2 linked regions of the Sus scrofa genome follow. The protein of the gene in region 2 binds, or shares a complex with, the protein of the main gene of each other region. Links are inferred from orthologs where the notes say so. Each region holds a gene or a part of one and is shown on either strand. Other genes may lie near its edges.

What was found.
Region 1: the proteins of PLEKHM1 (region 2) and MAP1LC3C are in contact, whole or in part, in a crystal structure (PDB 5DPW), measured with the Homo sapiens proteins. The link is inferred for Sus scrofa from reciprocal best matches to the Homo sapiens genes PLEKHM1 and MAP1LC3C. Residues at the interface, in NP_055613.1 of Homo sapiens: Glu632, Asp633, Glu634, Trp635, Val636, Asn637, Val638, Gln639, Tyr640; in NP_001004343.1 of Homo sapiens: Phe13, Arg16, Lys17, Glu25, Ile29, Phe33, Lys36, Pro38, Asp54, Lys55, Thr56, Lys57, Phe58, Leu59, Val60, Pro61, Glu63, Leu64, Ile72, Arg76, Phe114.

What each region holds. Positions count from the first base shown.
Region 1 is NC_010452.4:15,368,041-15,375,425, reverse strand, and holds the start of MAP1LC3C (microtubule-associated proteins 1A/1B light chain 3C), read right to left. Parts: upstream 4,245-7,385; 5' UTR 3,737-4,244; intron 2,800-3,736; exon of another isoform or gene 2,484-2,799; 5' UTR 2,460-2,483; coding exon 2,402-2,459; intron 2,292-2,401; coding exon 2,236-2,291; intron 1,800-2,235; coding exon 1,693-1,799; intron 1-1,692.
Region 2 is NC_010454.4:17,992,705-17,999,562, reverse strand, and holds part of PLEKHM1 (pleckstrin homology domain-containing family M member 1), read right to left. Parts: intron 6,152-6,858; coding exon 5,904-6,151; intron 3,620-5,903; coding exon 2,993-3,619; intron 1-2,992. UniProt on the Homo sapiens protein: Acts as a multivalent adapter protein that regulates Rab7-dependent and HOPS complex-dependent fusion events in the endolysosomal system and couples autophagic and the endocytic trafficking pathways.

The sequences.
Region 1 (7,385 bases), on a different chromosome or scaffold from region 2:
ACAGCTTCTGGCCTACACCACAGCCACAGCTATGCTGGGATCTAAGCCACATCTGTGACCTACACCACAGCTCACGGCAACTCCATATCCTTACTCCACTGAGCGAGGCCAGGGATCGAACCCATGTCCTCATGGATACTACTCAGGTTCATTACCTCTGAGCCACAATGGGAACTCCCAAAGCTCATGGTTTGTTTTTGCCTTTTTGTTTTGTTTTTATTGTCTTTTTGCCTTTTCTAGGGCTGCTCCCTCAACCTATGGAGGTTCCCAGGCTAGGGGTCTAATCTGAGCTGTAGCCACCAGCCTACGCCAGAGCCACAGCAATGTGGGATCCAAGCTGAGTATGTGACCTACACCACAGCTTATGGCAACACCGGATCCTTAACCTGCTGAGCAAGGCCAGGGATCGAACCCAAAACGTCAAGGTTCCTAGTTGGATTTGTTAACCACTGAGCCACGACAGACACTCCCCCAAAGCTCATTTTAAAAATCACAATAAATGCTCTCAAAAAACTGTCTGCATCAGCCAAAAAATTTGAGAGGTTGTTTCCAGCACAGGGAGACTCACCACCTAAGCCATATTTGTGGAGCCCTAAGTAAGTTATTTTTTAGTTTCTTTTTTTTTTTTTTTTTTTTTTTTTTTTTTTTAGAGTTCAGATAGCAGGTGACAACTTCAATCCCTTAAGCTTTATTTTTATTTTCTTTTTTGTTTTTTAGGGCCACACCCACAGTATATGGAAGGTCCCAGGCTAGGGGTTGAATCAGAGTTACAGCTGCCAGCCTACACCACAGCCACAGCAACGTGGGATCTGAGCCGCGTCTGCGACCTACACTGCAGTTCATGGCAATGCCAGATCCTTAAGCCACTGAGTGAGGCCAGGGATCGAACCTGCATCCTCATGGTTGCTAGTCGGATTTGTTTCCGCTGCATCTTTTAAGTCAGCAGCGTTTCCTTTACTTGGCCTCCCCTCGTTTGGAACAGGGGAAGCGGGATGTGGGGAGGGGCTGGTTCTCCCGCTCAGTGATTCCAGCAGGTGGACAGCACACTCCTCCCCCCAGTTCCCTCCCTGCCACAAAGGGGGAACCATTTAGAGGTACAAAGCTGTCATTGGGCTTTTAAAATAGCTGAAAACAGAGGCCTTTGGATCAGGTTCCAAAGATTCCTTTGAAAAATTCTTGGAGAAATTTAAGATACAAACGAAAACAAAGTACCAGCAAAATGTTGAAACAAAAGAAAAAATAGCCAGTGTATCAACATTGGGGGTTCTCGCTTCTTACAAGGTTGTAGCAAAGTACTTTCCTTCTTTTTAAGACTGCTTACTCATGAAATCATCCCTTTTTATTTTTCTTTTTAAGGCTGCACCTGCGACACATGGAAGTTCCCAGGCTAGGTGTCAAATCAGAGCTGCAGCTGCTGGCCTACGCCACAGCCATAGCAACGCCAGACCCTTAACCCACTGAATGAGGCCAGGGTTCAAACCTGCAACCTCATGGACACTAGTCAGGTTCTTAACCCTCTGAGCCACAACGGGAACTCAACATCATCCTTTTAAAAGGCAGAGTTGAAGAGAAAAGGTGAAACCCACATCCTTCCCTGTCTCTCTGCTGTAGCCCATCTCCCGTTGTTCCAAGAAGCCCAGGGCCACAGGGCGCACCTCCACCCCCGGCCCCTGCATGCACTTTGTTACCTACCGGATGATGCTGAGGAACTGGGTCATGGTCAGCTCCTGGGGGACCAGGAACTTGGTCTTGTCCAGCAGGGGCAGGAATTTCTCCCTGGGGTAGCGCTCCACTATCACCTGTCAAGAGTTTCAACCTGAATCTCTCCCGAAGCAAATGCCCAAGAATGTGCCTCAGTCTCCGTGTCTTAGAAACTTGGAATAGAGAGAAGGGGGTCACTGCCTGGGTTTGGTCTTGTCTTTTTTTTCTTTTGATTTTTAGGGCTGCACTTGAAGCATATGGAAGTTCCCAGGCTAGGGGTCCAGTCGGAGCTGCAGCTGCTGGCCTACACCACAGCCATAGCCACATGGGATCCAAGACTCGTCTACAACCTACACCACAGCTCACGGCAATGCGGCATCCCTGGGCCACTGAGTGAGGCCAGGGGTCGAACCCACATCCTCATGGTTACCAGCTGGGCTCGTGATTGCTGAGCCACAACAGCAGCTCCGGGTTTTGTTTTCTCAAAGAAGGGGACATCACAGGCCCGGCTGAGGAGCCACAGTGGAGTCTTACCGGGATCTTGCCAGGGAACTTCATCCGGATTCCAGCCACTTCCTCTCTTCTGGTTGCTGTGAACACGTAAGATGAAATGAACATATCAGCCTGGAGCAGAAGTCCGTGTCCTCGTCTTTCCCTGTCTCGAGGGCCCAAACCCAGACAAATACTCTGAGAACTTTACCTAAGCTCTTCCTCTGCTTGAAGGGTCTGAGGCTTGGGCTTTTCTGGGGAGTCTGCATTTTGCTCAACAGCTGTGTCTGTGTCTGAATTGAAAAAAAAGAAAAAAAAAAAGAGTACCTAACTCATTCCTCCAGCTGTTTCCAAACTGCCTGCGGGAGCCCAAAGGACGCTTTTATGTGGGACTGTGTGACATCAGCCTTCTCCAGCCCTCCCCTCCTGGGCAGGAGGGGGTCATTTTTCAGAATGGAAATGAAACAGCCACCTGCTTGCTGGTTAGAGAAAGTCACTTTGCTCACTACCGTTTAAAATGTTGTCTTTGCTAAAGAAATTGAGATTTACAATGTAGGGAGTTTCCGTTGTGGCTCAGTGGTAACAAACCCGAACTAACATCCATGAGGACACAGATTCAACCCCTGGCCCCGCTCAGCGGGTTAAGGATCCTGAGTTGTCGTGAGCTGTGGTGTAGGTGGCAGACAAGGCTCAGATCTCATGTTGCTGTGGCTGTGGTGTAGGCTGGCAGCTACAACTCCAATTCAACCCCCAGCCTGGGAACCTCAGGTGCAGCCCTAAAAAGCAAGAGAAAGAAAGAATATTCCAGAAAGGCTGAGTAACTTGTCCAGATAAAGAGGTAAAATTAGGGTTAAAATCTAGGTGTGGGAGTTCCAGTTGTGGTGCAGCAGAAACAAATCCGACTAGAAACCATAAGGTTGCGGGTTCTATCCCTGGCCTCCCTCAGTGGGTTAAGGATCTGGCGTTGCCGTGAGCTGTGGTGTAGGTCGCAGATGCTGCTCGGATCTGGTGTTGCTGTGGCTGTGGTGTAGGCTGGCAGCTATAGCTCCAATTAGACCCCTAACCTGGGAACCTCCATATGCCAAAGATGCAGCCCTAAAAAGGACAAAAAAAAAAAAAAAATCTAGGCATGTATCAAAGTAGTGTTATACTCTGCAGCTTTCCAGCATATTTTGGTCATTTTTTACAGGTCTAGGAATGTGGGTAGAACACTTTTTATCAAACTCAGGATATTTCTGTATTTCTTTATTGTCTTTTTAGGGCCGAACCCACGGCATATAGAGGTTCCCAGATGCTAGGGGTCAAATCGGAGCTACAGCTGCCAGCCTACACCACAGCTCACAGCAATGCCAGATCCGAGCAGTGTCTGTGACCTACACCACAGCTCTCGGCAACGCCAGATCCTTAACCCACTGAGGGAGGCCAGGGATGGAACCTGCATCCTCATGCATGCTAGTCCGATTCGCTTCCACTGAGCCATGAGGGGAACGCCTTAATGACGGTTTTAGTGACCCCGTTTCCCACTTGATGCCAAGCACCTCCTTACCTCACACCCAGGAGCTCGGCGGTCCCTCCGTGTTATTCAGATCCATCACGTCCTGAGAATAAAAAGGACCATTTGCTTCTGCTCGATTGTCTCTGGAGGTACCATGACCTTTACTGGTCATCCCTGGCTCCCTTCTATGCAGGACACTGAGAAGTCTTCAGCGTAGTGATGATGACACAGGGGAAGGTGACCAAACATTCTCCAGTTTGCTGAGGGACAGAAAGAAAAGCAGTAGTTTACTCTGTTTTTTACACAACTAGTGAAAAATCTTCCCTATTAAAAAAAAAAACTTGCCTTTACCCCTGCCTACGAAGCTAGGACAATAGTTGCCGAGTTCACCCTGAGGCTTTGAGTCTGCAGGGAGGAGCATGAACTTGGCCTCAGTAGTTAGATTGGTTTCTTAGAAGACCTTTAGCTCCTAGGGCCACACCTCCATGGATGAGGTCCATCTTTGATGCTGAGGCTCAGTGGAGAAGGTTGGGGCGCTGACCTGAGGTGCTAGAATGCAGTGGGGGCCTCACAACTTTCCACAGGTCATGATGGCCCTGGGACCCCTTCCTCTTCCCTTTTTTGACCTCCTCTCCTTCCTTCCTGTCTCTACCCATTATCATGTGACCAATTTCTTGAGCTCTGGGCTTCGAGATATACATATATTTATGTATTTTGCTTTCTAGGGCTGTACCTGCAGCATACGGAGGTTCCTAAGCAGGGTGCGAATCGGATCTACAGCCCCTGGCCTACGCCACAGCCACAGCAATGCCAGATCCGAGCCATGTCTGCGACCTACACCACAGCTCATGGCAACGCCGGATCCTTAACCCATTGAGCAAGGCTGAGGATCGAACCCAACTCCTCATGGATACTAGTTGGGTTCTTAACTTGCTGAGCCACAAGGGGCACTTCCTCAAAATTTCTTTTTTATTGCTCAAGAAGAAAGAATCCTACATATTTCATATTAACTTTGTGATATTTTCCTTTCGTGGCTATTTATATTTTGAAAAAAAAAAGTAATCATTACTACCATTTAATTGTTCTGTAGTGAGGACAGGCTATGCTATGCTGCAATAAGAAATACACCCTTGGAGTTCCTGTCGTGGCGCAGTGGTTAATGAATCTGACTAGGAACCATGAGGTTGCAGGTTCGGTCCCTGCCCTTGCTCAGTGGGTTAATGATCCGGCGTTGCCGTGAGCTGTGGTGTAGGTTGCAGACGCGGCTGTGGCTCTGGCGTAGGCCGGCGGCTACAGCTCCGATTCGACCCCTAGCCTGGGAACCTCCATATGCTGTGGGAGCGGCCCAAGAAATAGCAAAAAAGACAAAAAAAAAAAAAAAAAAAAAAGAAATATACCCTTAAATGTAACAGCTACACATAAAGAGTTTGACTTTCATCCACATCGCAGTCCAGTACATGTAGGAGGCTCCCTGTTTGGCTCTGTTCCAGGAGAAATTTAAGGGCATTCTCTGCTTTACACCTGCAGGTTCTGTCACCTCAAAGGCCTTCATTTCCACCAGCTCAGATGGGAAAACAGGTGGAAAAGATACACTTACACTTGGCTTTCTCAGACTTAAAGTGGCACCTTTGAGGGTTCACCCACCTTCCACAGAGGAAAATGAATCACATGATCCTACCTAGAGAGGGGTCTCTATCATTAGCACTCATTTTCCCACCACAATGATTATATTCCAAGCAACTGCTATGTTCTTTATTGATTTTACTTTTTTTCCTCTTTTTAGGGCCATGCCTACAGCATACGGAAGTGCCCAGGCTAGGGGTCGAATTGGAGCTGCAGCTGCCAACCAACCTCACAGCCACAGCAATGCAGGATCTGAGCCATGTCTGCAACTGACAGCACAGTTCATGGCTACACGAGATCCTTAACCCACTGAACAAGGCCAAGGATCGAACCCCCAACCTCGTGGATACTGATGTACCACAATGTTCATCATGTACCCACTGAGCCACAATGGGAACTCCACAATTTCACATTTTAATGTTATCCAAAAAGTGTGCTCTGGGACTTAAACCACATGGAGCTGGACTCTGAATCTACCACCTACTAGCCTTGTGACATTGTGCCAATTGATACCTCTCTCTGTTACCTTGTATATAAAAGCAAAAATAACGCATACCTTGTGAAACTGGGAGCATCAAATGAATTAGTTAACATATGTAAACAGATCTAGAATAATGGCTCGCACATACAACTCAGTAAGCAAAAGTTCCAAGGCGGAGGGGGAGGGAGTGGGATGGACTGGGAATTGGGTTAATAGATGCAAACCATTGCCTTTGGAATGGATAAACAATGAGATCCTGCTGTAGAGCACTGGGAATTATATCTAGTTACTTGTGATGAAGCAGGATGTAGGATAATATGAGAAAAAGAATGTATATATGTATGTGTGACTGGGTCACCTTGCTATACAGTAGAAAATTGGCAGAACACTGTAAACCAGCTATAATGGGAAAAAATAAAAATCATTTAAAAAACATAAGCAGGAGGTCCCGTCGTGGAGCAGTGGTTAACGAATCCAACTAAGAACCATGAGGTTGCTCAGTGGGTTAAGGATGTGGCGTTGCCATGAGCTGTGGTATGGTTGCAGAAATAGGCTGGGATCTGGTGTGGCTATGGCTCTGGCATAGGCCGGCGGCTACGGCTCCAATTAGACCCCTAGCCTGGGAACCTCCATATGCTGAGGGTACGGCCCTAAAAAGACAAAAGACAAAAAAGAAAAAAAACAACCATAAGTGAAAGTTATTGTTTTCACCGTTCTGTTGATGAAGAGCCTGAGGATCAGAGGGGTAACCCAGAGTCTATGAAAAAGACAAGGTCAGTCTGGACAACAGACTTGGCTTATTGACATCAGAAATGTCTTCATCATCAATATTATCCTTCACTGGAATAGGGAGGAAGCACATTTATTGTATTTGACACTGTGCTAATCACGACCTACATTTTTTTCTCAATTATTTCTTCGGAAAAAGAGAACTGAAGCTCAGAGCACAAAATAACATGCACAGCTGGGGGGATTTGAGCCACAGCAAAACTATGCTTGTAATGTGGTTTTGAGTTTTATATTAAAAATTTGGGGGTAGGAGATCTTGTGGTCTTAGGGAAATATTTTCTGAAACATTCCTCCAGCAGTCTCTTCATCCCAGCCCTACTTAAATGGCCAGACTCTCTGTTCCCTCAGTGTGGAGACCTTCAGAGTTCAGATCAAAATGAAGACTGTACCCTCCACCCTTGTGAAAACTCTTTCTTCCCTATTCCCTAAACACCATCACAGGGGGTCACTTTACATTTTTTTTAGGGCTGCATCCAAGGCATATGGAAGTTCCCAGACACTAGGGGTCGAATCAGAGCTACAGCTGCTGGCCTACACCACAGCAACAGCAACACAGGATTCAAGCCATATCTCCAACCTACCCCACAGCTCACGGCAATGCCAGATCCTTGACCCACTGAGCCAGGCTAGGGATCGAATCTGCAACCTCATGGTTCCTGCTTGGATTCGCTGCCACTGCACCACGATGGGAACTCCACAGGTGGTCTCTGTAGACATCTAAAGATGGCATCCTGGAATAAAGGTGAGCAGGCTGCCTCCAGGTCCTCTGGATGTCAGGGCAAATGATTTAAGGTCATGCCTCACAGC
Region 2 (6,858 bases):
CACTCTCCCTATCTCAACTCATTTCATCTCCCCAGCATTCCTTTGAAGCATGCTAATCCCCATGTTCTAGAGGAGGCCATCATGGTCACAGTCGCAAAGGTTGAGTTACTGGCCCCAGGTGGCAAAGCTGGTTACCGAAGGCCTCAGGCCGCCTGGCTCCTGAGGCCACATTCTTTCCCACTAGACTGTACCTATGCTTCTCAGTGATAATTATCATTCAGGCCCAATGAACACAGAAGCAGGGAGGCAGGGCAGTCAATCCTTTCGTCACAAGGCAAACTGTAATTTGGTTTCTGCAAAACACTAATAAATTTCATTTGGAATGTTATGAGTTTTGCAGTTTTCTTCATGTTTAATTTGCAGATGTTTTGATTTTATACTTGTAAGAGCTATAAGCACAAAGTGTTCATGCCTAATTTTAAGTTACAAACATTAAAGTAACATAATAACCTAGGTGACCTCTTAAGGGTTGGTGAGACTCTTTACCCTTAAAACACATACTCCAAGAAACGCTGGTCTCGGGATGCTCAGAGGCTAACTTGCTGTCCAGCTCTAAGAATGATGGCGCTGGGTGGGCGCTGGGGCAGGTGTGCGTGAGGTGTCCTCCTGTTCCTCACAGCGCTGTCAGCGTCAGTCTGTGCACCTTGACCCTCTTCCCCTGCGTTTCCCCATAATACCCAGGACAACACTTCCCAGGCGGGGTGGATGGTCACTGATTCAATGACCTTAAGCTGGAATTTTCCAATCACAAGACTTGTGGAAGAGAAAGGCAAGGCACATGACAAAGAGCGGGCCAGCTGGTCTGTGGCAGGAGGGGGACACAACCAGGGGCCAGCACAGGGGACTGAGTCATGCATACCACGGGCCCCGCCACCTCTGGGGCGGGGGCTGCTCTCTCCCAGCATGATACATCCCAACCCTCCTTTTTGACACTGAAAATTCTATCGAATGTGCCCAGGGGACATTTCTGGGGCCCACCAGACACTCTTAGGTGTGCAACTCACTCACCGGCATCTCATTCAATTTCCAAACAGCCCTATGAGGGAATTTCCATTATAGAAATGAAGAAACAGGAGTTCTCATCATGGCCTGGTGGAAACGAATCCAACTAGGAACCACGAGGTTACGGGTTCAATCCCTGGCCTCGCTCAGTGGGTTAAGGATCTGGCGTTGCCCTGAGCTGTGGTATAGGTCGCAGATGCGGCGTGGATCTGGCGTTGCTATGGCTCTGGCATAGGCCGGCAGCTGTAGCTCCGATTAGACCCCTAGCCTGGAAACCTCCATAGGCCTCAGGTGTGGCCCTAAAAAGACAATAAATAAATAAATAAAAAATAAAATAAAATAAAATGAAAATGAAAAAACAGACGCTCAAAAAGAGTTGGCAATCTGTGGGACATTCCTGGGCTTATAATTGATGAAATACGGCTTGAAACTAGATCTGTCCAAGGCCAGTTCATGACACCCAACCTGGTGTGATTCCCACACACGGTGGGAGCAAGGGCGGGGACCAGCAGGAGTGGAAGGAGGGTCCTGACACAGCTGATGGGTCAGGGGTCCTGCTGAAGGAAATGCTTAATACACGGTTACCATTTTTACCTATTAGATGAGCAAATATCCCAAAGTTTGATCAATACCTTCTGTTGACAAGGCTGAGAGGACATAATAAGCTTCTGATGGGTGTGAATAAGCATGTCTGTGAAAACCACAAGTTAATTTATCCCTTGGCTCAGCAGTTTTGCTTCTGGGAATTTACTGAACGGAGATGCCTTGAGTTGAACTAAAAGACCACATATACAGGTTACTCACAGAAACAGTGAATTCTAATGTCCATTAAATTCAGAGCTGATTCAATAAACTAAAGAAAAAAAAAAAAAAAGGAGGAAGATCTAACATGAAAAGATCTCCTCCCAAAGTGCAGAATAATGCATTTATAACTCATACCATCTTTTGTGGAAAGAGATGGGGGAATAAGAAATAAGAAAGAAAAAATTGAAATCTGTATATTCGTATTTGTTATAGAGGCATTTAAATTTGTACAATGCAAGAAATTAATAATTATGGTTATAGGGGTGGGAAAGACTTTTTAACTATATATATTTTTAGGTCATTTAACGATAAAAATAAATTACCTATTCAAAGGTGAATGTTAGGCCTGAAGGAAGGCTCTGCACAGGCCCCCTTCTCTAGTCACCTCCGTCCTCCACAGGCTTGCCTGTCCCCATGTGTCTGCTACCCCCTCAGGCATCATTCAGGTTTTATGTCCCCCAGAAGGTCTCCTGCGAGGTCCCAGAAGATTGCCCTTATGCATGTGCGTCACTGTACTTTTTGGAAGTTGTACACAGAGCTCTGAACAATTCGTATCTTTTTCTCTAGATGAAGACCATAATACTTTACACTGACTCTCGGAGAGATTAAATAACTTGTCCAAGGTCACCGGGTCAGAGCCGGGGATGGGACCAGCTCTGAGCCCTGTTTCCTTATTTTTTTTTTTTTAATTAATATATATATATATATTTTTTGTCTTTTTGCCTTTTTCTAGGGCCGCTCCCACAGCATATGGAGGTTCCCAGGCTAGGGGTCCAATCAGAGCTGTAGCCGTCGGGCTACGCCAGAGCCACAGCAACGGGGGATCCGAGCCACGTCCTCGACCTACACCACAGCTCACGGCAACGCTGGATCCTTCCTTAACCCACTGAGCAAGGGCAGGGATCAAATCCGCAACCTCATGGTTCCTAGTTGGATTCATTAACCACTGCACCACGACGGGAACTCCTCTGAGCCCATCTAAATGCATTCTCCTCACTGCCCCCAGTTTGCCTCCACATACAGCTCCCAGCAATTCCAGCCTCCCCGAAGGAATGTCCCTGGCAGCTTGTCTTTATGCCCTAACAGGAATTCAGGGCAGTGACAGATCATCGCATGCCCCAGGAAGGGAGGGAGGGCAGGAGGAAGAGAAGAAGGAAGCTCGGGAGGGCGGGGGCAGGGCACTCACTCTTGCAGAGACGGGTCTGAGTCGTCAGCATTGGCCGTCCCTGGGTCTGAGTCGAAGGACATGGGCTCCTCGGAGCGGTCTGGACTCTTGGAGCCGTTCTCTTGGAGGAGGCAGCTGTCAGAGTTGAGGCTGCAAGAGAGCTGGGAAGAACTGGCCGTGTCCAGGCTGAGGGAGGAGGCGGTGAGCTTCCTGTTCCGTCGGATCTTATGGCCCGAGTGCTGGACCTCGATGTCCTCTGAGCCCGAGGAGTGGGAGATGGAATCCAGAGACTCCTTCCGCTGCAGTTCTGCACCCGAGGTCGTGAGGGCGTCGAGCTCTGAGAGCGGGCAGAGCCCAGACAGGGCCAGAGGGGTGAGCGTCCACTCGTTTAGGATGGCGGACTTGTAGGAGAGCTCGAAGGACAGAGATGTCAGTCCCTGCAGGAAGCTGAGGAGGAACTCGCCCTCCTCGGCGTCGCGGAGCAGGGCCGTGGGCTGATAGTACTCGCACAGCCGGGCCTGCTCCTGCAGGAGCAGTTTCAGGTAGCACTCCATCAGGCCGTCGTTGAGGGCCAGCCGCAGCCAGGCCCGGCAGCGGCCCACGTCCGTGCTGACAAAGATCAGGTGCTCCAACTCTGAGATGATGTGTCTGTGAAGGCACAGAACAGGTCTGTTTCAAGAAACGTCTTCAGGAGTTCCCATCATGGCTCAGCGGTAATGAACCCGACTAGTAACCATGAGGATGTGGGTTCGATCCCTGGCCTTGCTCAGTGGGTTAAGGATCCAGTGCTGCGGTAAGCTGCAGTATAGACTGCAGACACAGCTCAGATCCCACATTGGTGCAGGCTGGCAGCTATAGCTCCGATTCGACCCCTAGCCTGGGAACCTCCATATGCCGCGGGTGCGACCCTAAAAGAAAAAGAAAAAAAAAAAAAAAACCCACCTGCAAAGCACTGAGATGCCACTGTATCCACTAGACAGCAAGAGCCAACAACGACTACAAATGCATAAAGGCACAAAAAATTCTCGGATAACAGCAAGGTCTAAGGGGAATTTTGAAATATTAAGCTATAACCCCTAACTTTTAGGGCTGGGGTCATGATGGATAAATGCCGTTTTCATAGCACCTACCCCTTGGGCCCCTGACATCAGCTGCTCAACCAGGACATGTCTGCTGAGTGCCAAAGGGCAAGGTCCTTGGAGCTGTGAAGACACAGGGTAAAGACATGGCCCCTACGCTCAGTCCAGGTAACCGCCTTTCACGGGTATACTGAGGTGAGCCCTGCTGTTTGTACAGCTGGGCTGGGCCATTATTCCTGGGTTGAAGTAAGACAAATGCCATAGAAAGGGTAGTACCCCAGCTGGGCCTTGAGGCAAAGATGGAAGCAGAGGGGTTTCCTGGTGGCTCAGAGAGTTAAGGATCTGGTTTGGTCACTTGTGCGGCGAGAGTTTGACCTCTGGCCTGAGAATTTCTGCATGCCTTGGGTGTGGGAAAGGAAGGAAGGAAGGAAGGAAGGAAGGAAGGAAGAAGGGAAGGAAGGAAAGACAGAAAGAACCTTTAAGGCACAAGGGACTGACAGAGAAAAAGGCATAAAGAGTAGTCGAGCAATTGGACTGTAACAGGAGTGGGGAGCGCTCTAGTTACAGCACAAGGAGCGGGCGATTTGGTTGCAAAGCCAAGTAATGTAGGGTCTTGAGTATCAAACAGGGGAAGCAAAGGGGGGCAATGCCCTCACACCTGGCTATGCAACAGAATCACCCCAGGAACCAGGACAGGATACAGGTGCTGGGGCCCCAATCAAGTGAATCAGACTCCAGACTGGCACTTGGAGCCTGTGGACTACAGGTTTCTGCTCAGGAAAGCAACCTGTCCCCAGCTAGGCAGACTTCAGGGTGGGCTGCTCTGGATAAGATCCCACCCTGTGTGTACTGAACTCGGCTCCTGAATGCCTCAGCCTAAATGCCCCTCCTCTGGCTGCCACTGTCCTCTGTGAACGTCTCCTCCTCCACGGGGGTGGGACCACACTCTGCATCCTCAGTGACTGAGCTCCGGTTGGCAGGAGCTCAGTAAATGTTGGCTGACTGACCAAAGGAAGGACAGAAGGAGACAAAGGGGACAATCAGAAAGGCACTATCACCCAGGAGTGAGGTAAGAACTTGAGATAGGGCAGTAGGCACAGAAAGGAAGATTAGAGACTGACAAGGCACCTTCGGGCAGAAGGTGGCATTTAATAGCTATTGGAGGCACAGTGCCAGCCGCCTGCTCCCGAGCCCCAGTGGTTCAGGGTCAGCAAGACAAGTGTCTCAGGGTGCACATCGAGAGGCTCTACCTGGATGCCACTCTTCTTAAAACAACAACAGGAGTTCCTGTTGTGGCTCGGTGGGTTAAGAACCCGACTAGTATCTATGAGGATGTGAGTTCAATCCCTAGCCTCATTCAGTGGGTCAGGGATCTGGCGTTGCCATGAGCTGTGGTGTAGGTCTCAGATGTGTCTTAGATCCCACGTTGCTGTGGCTGTGGTGTAGGCTGGCAGCTGCAGCTCCAGTTTGACCCCTAGCCTGGGAACTTCCACATGCTGTGGCCCTAAAAAGCAACAACAACAAAAACAATACCTTGTTATGAGTATGATACTTTAGCACATAGGTGTGCAAACATTCTAAGGCACAGAAAAATTCTGAAAAGGGCCAGACAGTAAAGATTTTCGGCCAGCATGTGGTTAAAAGGTGGCTCCTGCTCTGACCCAGGGGCTCAGCGCTGCCCCGGACCATTGCCTGAGGGCCTCACTGAGGCCTGGTCTAACAATGACTTCGCCTTGCCCCTCTCTACTCCAGGCACAGGGCTCTCCGAGACTTTCCTACGCAGGGAAAAGCCCAGTGTCCCACACTCTGAAGCTCCTCCCCTGATGCGAACCCCCTCACCCAGCAGCTCTCACTTGTGGGTGATGGCTTTCAGGAGGGGCCAGAAGACAGGCTGAGGCAGAGGCTTCTGGTGGGCACTTTTCTTCCTCTTGCCTCCAGCCTCGGCTCGGATGTGCTTGGCGTGCAGGCCATGGATGAAGACGGCCTCCAGGGCGCTGCACATGCTGTTGGCATCTCCGTCTTCGCTAGTGACCACCGTGTCCGAGGACACGTACTGCTTCTGCAACGCCTTCACGGAGCCCACTAGCTTCTTCTTGATGACCTGGGCAGCGGCGGACACAACACAGGCCTTTAGTACATCCCCCATGGCAACCCCTGCAATGTAACTCTGCCTAATGCCAAATACACAGGCCCACGTGCATGCACAAATAGATCTATGCATCTATATAGCAAAACTATACACAGGCTAACAATAGAAAATAAAGAGAAAGGAGAGAGAAGAAAAGAAAATCACACACATATAGCACACACATGGATACTGCTGTCATTTTTTTTTTTTGCACAGATATTTGTGGTTGGAGCTCCCATCGTGGCTCAGTGGTTAACAAACCTGACTAGTATCCATGAAGACACGGGTTCGGTCCCTGGCCTTGCTCAGTGGGTTAAGGATCCAGTGTTGCTGTGAGTTGTGGTTTGGATCAGGCGTTGCTATGGCTGTGGCTGTGGCTGGCAGCTACAGCTCTGATTCGACCCCTAGCCTGGGAACCTCCATATGCTGCAGGTATGGCCCTAAAAAGACAGAAGATATATATATATATATATGGTGGTTTATTTGTTTTGGCCTCACCTGGGTTATTCAGAAGTTCTCTGGCCAGAGATTAAACCTGAGGCACAGCAGTGACAATACTGGATCCTTAACCTGCTGAGCCATCAGGGAGCTCCTTGTTTGTTTTTTAAACCAAATTTCGGTGAGCTGATAGACATATAAATCTGGTGTTTACATACCGGCTCCAGGAGTTCCCTTAGGAT